Macaca mulatta: one gene and its partner. The protein of the gene in region 2 binds, or shares a complex with, the protein of the main gene of each other region. Links are inferred from orthologs where the notes say so. Each region holds a gene or a part of one and is shown on either strand. Other genes may lie near its edges.

Region 1 (3,753 bases), on a different chromosome or scaffold from region 2:
TGAGATCCGGCCACTGCACTCCAGCCTGGGCGACAGAGCGAGACTCTGTCTCAAAAAAAAAAAAAAAAAAAAAAAAAAATTAGCTGGGCGCAGTGGTGAGAGCCTGTAGTCCCAGCTACTCGGGAGGCTGAGGCAGGAGAATGGCGTCAACCCGGGAGGCGGAGCCTGCAGTGAGCCGCGATCTCGCCACTGCACTCCCGCCTGGGCGGAAAAAAGAAAAAAAGGCAGTCTAATATGGCTTCCTAATATGCTTTAGGCTAGAACAGAGGTTCTCAAAATACGGTCCAAGACAGAGGCTCCCCAAGGCCAAACTATCTTCCTAACAATACTAAGATGTACTCTTCTTCTTCTCTCATAAGTTTACAGTGGAATCTTCCAAAGTAGAACATTTGCTATTCCAAGAGACTGGATACAGAAGCAGGCATAAGAGCCCATGTGCCTTCTATAAACCAGACATTAATAAGACTTGCACAAATGCAAAACAATCCAACACTTCTCATTTCTTTCTTACTAAAAGTAATGTTTTACTACTCCTCTGAAACTTATCCTCTGTCTTAATTTTCAGGGACATCTCATTCATTGATTCACATAGATTATAATTTTATTCCTCAGGTTTTTGTACTGGATCATCTCTTTTCCTCTCTTGTATCCTCATTTTCCTCTCCAGTGGAGAGGAATTGCCCCAGCATACAAATATGCTTTACTATCTCCAATTCTAAAACAAAAACAAAAACCTCCCTTAACCCCAATATCTCTCCAGCTTCTGCCCCCATTCTCTGTCTCCTCTTATAATCAAGCTTCTTCAAATGTCTATATTCCATTTCCTCAGCTCTCATTTGCTCTTCAACCCACCCCACTATGCTTATGGCAACATGACCTGACTAAAGCTGCTTTCTTTACCATGTCCCACTACCTCTATGCTCTCTGATCATCTCTTTCCTCTTTTTTACTTGACTTTTGAGCAATCAAGTAAAGACACCTTCTATGCTAGATCCTCCAATCCTACCCACTTCCTAAAGGTTGAGAGGTACTCAGAGCTCAGTACTGGGCTCTGCTCTTCTCTCTCTAGTATCTCCCTAGACCTCTTTCACTCCTGTGGATTTTTTTCCAAAATTATTTCTGAAAAGGTGATTCATGGACATAGCACTAAATTCAAAAGGCATAAAAGGCTATGCAGTGAACTAAGCTTATCTACCACCCTTGTTCCCAGCTATCCAGTCCCACTCCCAAGAAAGTAACTGATATTACCCATAGCTTATTTAACCTTGCAGAGATACTCTATGATTTTACAGCTATCTGCCCTCAGCCTACACTTTTTTTAATATAAAACACAAATTATAGTCTACACTGTTTAGTACCTTTTTTCTCTGTAATACATCTTGGATATCATTACATATTGGTATATATAGAGCTATTGCATTCTTTCTAATGGCTGTATTCTACTCTGAAAATGTATTAAAATTTACTTAACTAGCCCCTTAATGGAACACATTTAGGTTGTTTCCAGACTCTGGTCACTTGGTCACTGTAAAGAATGTTGCAATGTTCCCTGACCACGCCATTTTGCACATGTGAACTTATATGTGGGCTACATTTTTAGAAAAGGAATCTTTGAATTGAAAGTTATATGCCATTAAAAATGACAGATATTCTCAAACATTCTCGACAAAGGCACTAATTTACACACCTAACAGTAATGTAACTCTCATGAAATTAAATATCATCACCATATTGATGGCACCCAAAGTCATATCACCGGTCTCTCTCTTTTATTACTTCAACATGTCACAAACATAAAATCTGGCTTGACTCTTTGATTTGGACTCTCACTGCTCATTCTCCACTGTTTCCCTTCTTTTTTTAATCCATCCATAATAGTAGCTCAAACTAGAAACCTGGGAGCCATCCTTGACAGCTCCTTCTCTCCTAGTCCCCGTATCAATCTAGCACCAACTTACGTCAGTTCTACCACTTACTCAATCCTCAAACATCTACTTCTCTTCTCTCTTCTTCACTGCCATGGTTTTAATCCAAGGTTCCATAAACAATGATCTGGTATACTGTATTAACTCCCAATTTGTCTCCCACATCCACTCTGCCTTTCTTCTAAATTAATCCGTATTTTTTTTTCAGAGTATCTCTCTCACAAGTATAACCAAGGAGTTCTTTGTTTAATTGTGTATTTATCACATCTCCTCCACTACAATGCAAGCTCCATGAGAAACTATGACTGTTTTTGTTCACTCCTGTGACCCTAGAATCTGACATTGTAGAAGCTCAGTAACTATTTACTAAATAAAAACAGCATGAACACAAAAAATGACCTTCATTCCATGTAAGTCTAGAGTGGAAGCAGGTGAGGAATTATCCCAATAGAATCTGTAATAATCAGTTTCCCCCACTACAATGTAAATTCCTTAAAAATGAGAACAATCTTACTCCTCTCTGAATCATAAACACTGGTGCTTGCCATGTAAGACAGTCAATAAATAATTGATAAATGTAAGAATAAATGAGCCAACATTATAAAAGTGTATATCTGTGGTTATTAAATGATTTCCCGTCCTTTGTGGGGCAGATACCAGATATATAATAATGCCACTTTTTCTCTTTGGTGTCTAGAAGTCTGAAAGCAAGGAAATATCAAAATTCTTCTTGTATTATACTAATCAGTTACAGTTAGGTGGCTAACTTACCAGAGCAGACTTCCCAACGCCTCCTGAACCAAGGACCACTAGCTTGTACTCACGCATGATGTGATCTGTTTAAATACTGACGATCTGAAAAACAAACAAACAAAAAAATCAAAGATTAAGAAACATACTAACAGCCTAATAACGTACAACTGCTACATCAAATATAGGAGTTTGTTTTGTTTTTTCCTTGTAAGACTATCAAATGGACAACAGAAGCTACATGGCAAAAATCCATACAGATTTTAACATAAGTTTATAGGATTACTTTCAGACATTTTAATTCACTGAAGATCATCTTTGACTAGGCATCAATTATGTTCATATTACTTCTAAGAATCTTTGATTAAAAACAAGATGATTAAATCCAACAGTTGATAATCTTATGACTACAATGATAAACCTAATTCTTTGCAAAGCTATCATTTAAACAACTTATGTACTTTTAAAAAATATTCACTCATGAGCTTTAATATAATGTACAGGCTATTTTACTTGCTTAAAATATTCTACAGTAATTCTACACTATTTTGTTCATTATTGTATTATAGCTGAACCATTTAAAGTGTCATCTTGAAAATAATTAAAGATGTGAACAAGAGATCAGATGAAATTGCTAAACACTATAGGCAGTTATTAGCAATACACGACATAAGGCCCAAATGGCCAGAGAAAATAAAAGGAACATAAACTTTATTTTTTATCTCCATGGTTATCTTAAAAGGTATAAAGACAGGAAATAATTTTCAATGGCCATGGTGGAATAACTAGAAACAGACTTTTCAACTCACAATAACAGCCAGAACAGTGAACAAAAAAATATAAAACTCTTTTTAGATATTGGATAACAAGCAGTGTAGGACTGTGATTTCTGAGATGCAAAAGAAATGAAGTGAGACCTAACCTGCCCTGGCTTTCTGCCTAGAGGCACTTTTCAGACTATGGTGAAGGGAGAAAGAACTCAAGCAGAGCTTAGAAGTGTGCCAGAGAAGTGGAAGCTAAGCATATAAAATTCCAGAAATCGGCATAAGGATTCACTTGAGTCTGGCTAAGCACTAAG
Region 2 (3,653 bases):
CAAGAAATATAAATTTAACTTTGCAACTATTTCATTTTTGGTAGTCTACTGTCTGACAGTTTCAGCAATCCTGTTAATTACAAGAAAGCAAAAGCATGAAGAAAAATACCTACTCTTCCCCTCAAACAAAATCGTCTGGACCACGCCCTGGGAGAAGCATTCAGGCTGTTATTCTAGTCCAAAGCAATGAGAAATAAAGAAGAATAAAGAACAAAGGAAGTATTTAAGTGTATTCAGTTGTTATTAAAGATGAAGCAGAAAGCAAATTAAACCAATAGGACATAACCAAAAAGCCAAGAAAAGAAAAAGCAGTTCAAAAACACTAGCTTTGGGCACTTGGACATCTCCCTAAATACCTGCTTATTAAATCCTAGGACTCCACCCTTTTATTTCTAAATAAAATCACAAAAGTCTTCCAGAGAATCTGTAGTTCTCCATCACTGTTATTTTCTGTCCCACACCAAAATTAAACTCCTCTTTAAATATCTTAGGCACTCGTTCATTAAAAGCCTATTCAAATCTGATAATGGGAAGAGTTCAAATGTTAACATATTTTTCAGGAAATTTTAGTTCTCCACTTGAATGATATACCAACCAGACTATTCAGCCAGTCTAAAGATATTATGGATATAAAATAAACTGTAAAAGTCCAGAGACCTGAGAAAGTGTTGCAACATTCTTTGATCAGATTTGAAACCCAAAACTCTCTGAAATAAATATCACCCTCACCCCATTAATTGACTGACATTACCACCCCCAAGGGGCCCTATTACCTCAATCATCCTGCTGTCCACAGGCAGGGTGGTGCTGACCATGTGGACATTAGGTGTGGACGTCGACCTCTGCCTCTGGGAAAGGGAACCTTCAGATGAGGGACTGGAGGTGTTAAAGGTGAAGGCGTGAGGTGTAGAATACCTGTGCTGAGAACTAGGCAAGGAGGAGAAAGAAAATTCCATGATTGGCATTTAGGCTTTCATACTGGTGAAGTCTTTCAACTACCTACTTGATTAAGATGCTTAAGGGCAAACTCTACCTGTACAACCTTTGACACAATGTTTGATTCTTTCAAATATGTGACATCTAAAAATTATCTTAAGTCTGGGTGCTTTTGCATACAAAATTTGGAACAGGAAATAATATATGTATTGGGAATTCAATGAAAAAGAGAATGTATTGTAAGTTTTCTTTTTTTTAATAAAGCGCCACCCGAATACTCCAAATTTTCACATCTTCTCCGGGAAAGAATAGATTAACATTTGACAACCACACTACCACTTATTAAGCTAGTTGAAACGTGCCCAGTTTAATTTAGAGACTAAATTTGAGAACTTTAAGATTTTAAACAGATAAGTAGACGTGCTGAGCATGTCTGCAAAAAGGCCAGACGTTTTCATTATTTGTTCTAAAGATTAGTTTGAGGTTTGTTCAGATTCAGTTAACATCCATGTATGAATTAAAGGGATAAAAGGCCAGCTTTTCTAAGGGAAATTGTTCTATTGTCTTGAAAAAATGCCTTCCCACATAATTCTGTTTATGGCTTCAGAGGCCTGGTTTCTTCTAATCTTCAGAGGTAACTACAAACTCTTGGTCAGATCTGCTTTTCAAATTATCAAGAAAAATAAAAGTCATACACAAATATATATCCAGACATATGCAAATTCCTTATTCTGACATATGCTGCCTTTAATAATTTCCATAGTAGTTTCACATTAAACATTATCTGATTACACATTATGTGTGTGTGTGTGTGTGTGTGTGTGTGTGTGTATTTTTTGGAGACAGAGTCTTGCTCTGTCACCCAGGCTGGAGTGCAGTAGTGCCATCTCAGCTCACTGCCTACCAGGTTCAAGATTCTCCTGCTTCAGCCTCCCAAGTAGCTGGACCAAGAGGCGCATATCACCACATCCAGCCAGTTTTTTGTTATTTTTAGTAGAGATGGAGTTTCACCATGTTGGTTGGCCAGGCTAGTCTGGAACTCCTGACCTCAAGTGGTCCGCCCACCTCGGTCTCCCAAAGTGCTGGGATTACAGGCGTGAGCTACCATGCCTGGCCTAAAGTAAGATATTTTGGATGTAGATTTTACTTTAGGTTTCAAATTCATGTGTGTAACACTGAGCAATATGTGAACTGAACAAAACTGATTGTAAAGCTGGAAAACAGAGTAAAGACAAGTTATATGCAAACTCAGAGACACATTAGAAACAATATTTATGCTGAAAATATAACTAAATGTTTTTTAAAGACACTAGTCTATTTAAATACATGGTTTTAGCAAATGCAAGGCCATAACATGCATTTCAAAGTTAAGGGTTTTATTTTTATTGAATCACTGTATCAAGTTTTGGGACCCTTTCCATTGAGGTTGAACTCAGTACATACTGAGGAAAGTAGAATCTCAAGCTCTTTAAAATGTAATGACATATTAAGGAATATGCTACGATAACAGAAGAAACTATAGTCAAAGTCACTTTCCAGAATATAAGATCTACAGATCCATAAAGAGAAATTTCTACATTTTGCTGTACCACCAGTATCACATTCCACAGAAGCAGCAAGGGATTTCCACATAGAGAGGAGGGAATGTGAAGAAACTCTTATTTTTTGTCTTTGAGCTTCCAACCCCACCTCCCCCCCCCAATAACTTTCTAAAAGAAAAGCTATAGGTAAAAAAATTACCTAACAGGCATCCTGGAAACAGACTCTCGCATACGACGCATAGTCAAAGAAGGTAGTGCTGGGACTCCACTATCACCAATAGTGGAATTTGGAAACAATCTAAACAAAAGCAGGGAAAGACTGGTTTTTAGGCTTACAGTAATCTTACAGAGACAATCAGCGTGCCTTGCTTTTGCAAACTCAGAGCTACTAAAACTGAACTTTTCCCAGTCACATTTTCCTCAACTGTTTTACATTACCTAGAATAAAGGGAACAATTTCCAAATAACTGGGTTTGAATGATTATTGAATGTGAATAATACTGACCTGCCAATAAACATACGGGCTCCAGTGTGCTTTTTCTTTTTTATTTTCTTTTTTTTTGTTGAGATGGAGTCTCGCTCTGTTGCCCAGGTTGGAGTGCAGAGGAGCAATCTTGGCTTACTGCAGCCTCCGCCTCCTGGGTTCTCCTGCCTCAGCCTTCCAAGTAGCTGGGATTACAGGCACACACCACCACGCCCAGCTAATTTTTGTACTTTTAGTGGAGACAGGGTTTCACCATGTTGGCCAGTCTGGTCTCGAACTCCTGACCTCAGGTGATTCACCCGCCTCAGCCTCCCAAAGTGCTGGGATTACAGGCGTGAGCCACCACGCCCGGCCCAGTGTGCATTTCTAGGAAATACTGGTCCTATGTCTAGCTATATCAAAATAATGTTTTTCAAACTACAGTAGAACATTTTACAAACTATGTCACACAGAGCTTTTCTGGAAACATTCCATCTTGAAAATAGATAAAAAGACTAAAATAGGAGGAATAAATCACAGAAAAGTGAGTAATTAGGCACCTTCTTTCCATGAGCTGGGCACTTGTCAGCAAGCCTCATAAGAACAATGCAAGGAAGGTAATATCCCCTTTATTCAGACGCATGAACGAAAACTCAGTTGTGGTTATGGTTAATGACAATAGTGAGATTCTGACATACGTCTGTTAGACTCAG

What was found. The genes of interacting proteins can lie anywhere in the genome.
Region 1: the proteins of RAF1 (region 2) and RAP1A are in contact, whole or in part, in a crystal structure (PDB 3KUC), measured with the Homo sapiens proteins. The link is inferred for Macaca mulatta from reciprocal best matches to the Homo sapiens genes RAF1 and RAP1A. Residues at the interface, in NP_001341619.1 of Homo sapiens: Thr57, Arg59, Asn64, Lys65, Gln66, Arg67, Thr68, Val69, Val70, Lys84, Lys87, Val88, Arg89, Gly90; in NP_001010935.1 of Homo sapiens: Val21, Gln25, Ile27, Val29, Asp33, Pro34, Ile36, Glu37, Asp38, Ser39, Tyr40, Arg41.

Annotation. Positions count from the first base shown.
Region 1 is NC_133406.1:128,545,893-128,549,645, forward strand, and holds the start of RAP1A (ras-related protein Rap-1A), read right to left. Parts: upstream 2,781-3,753; 5' UTR 2,754-2,780; coding exon 2,697-2,753; intron 1-2,696. UniProt on the Homo sapiens protein: Counteracts the mitogenic function of Ras, at least partly because it can interact with Ras GAPs and RAF in a competitive manner. Together with ITGB1BP1, regulates KRIT1 localization to microtubules and membranes.
Region 2 is NC_133407.1:151,425,385-151,429,037, forward strand, and holds part of RAF1 (RAF proto-oncogene serine/threonine-protein kinase), read right to left. Parts: intron 2,776-3,653; coding exon 2,677-2,775; intron 928-2,676; coding exon 774-927; coding exon of another isoform or gene 755-773; intron 174-754; coding exon of another isoform or gene 114-173; intron 1-113. UniProt on the Homo sapiens protein: Serine/threonine-protein kinase that acts as a regulatory link between the membrane-associated Ras GTPases and the MAPK/ERK cascade, and this critical regulatory link functions as a switch determining cell fate decisions including proliferation, differentiation, apoptosis, survival and oncogenic transformation.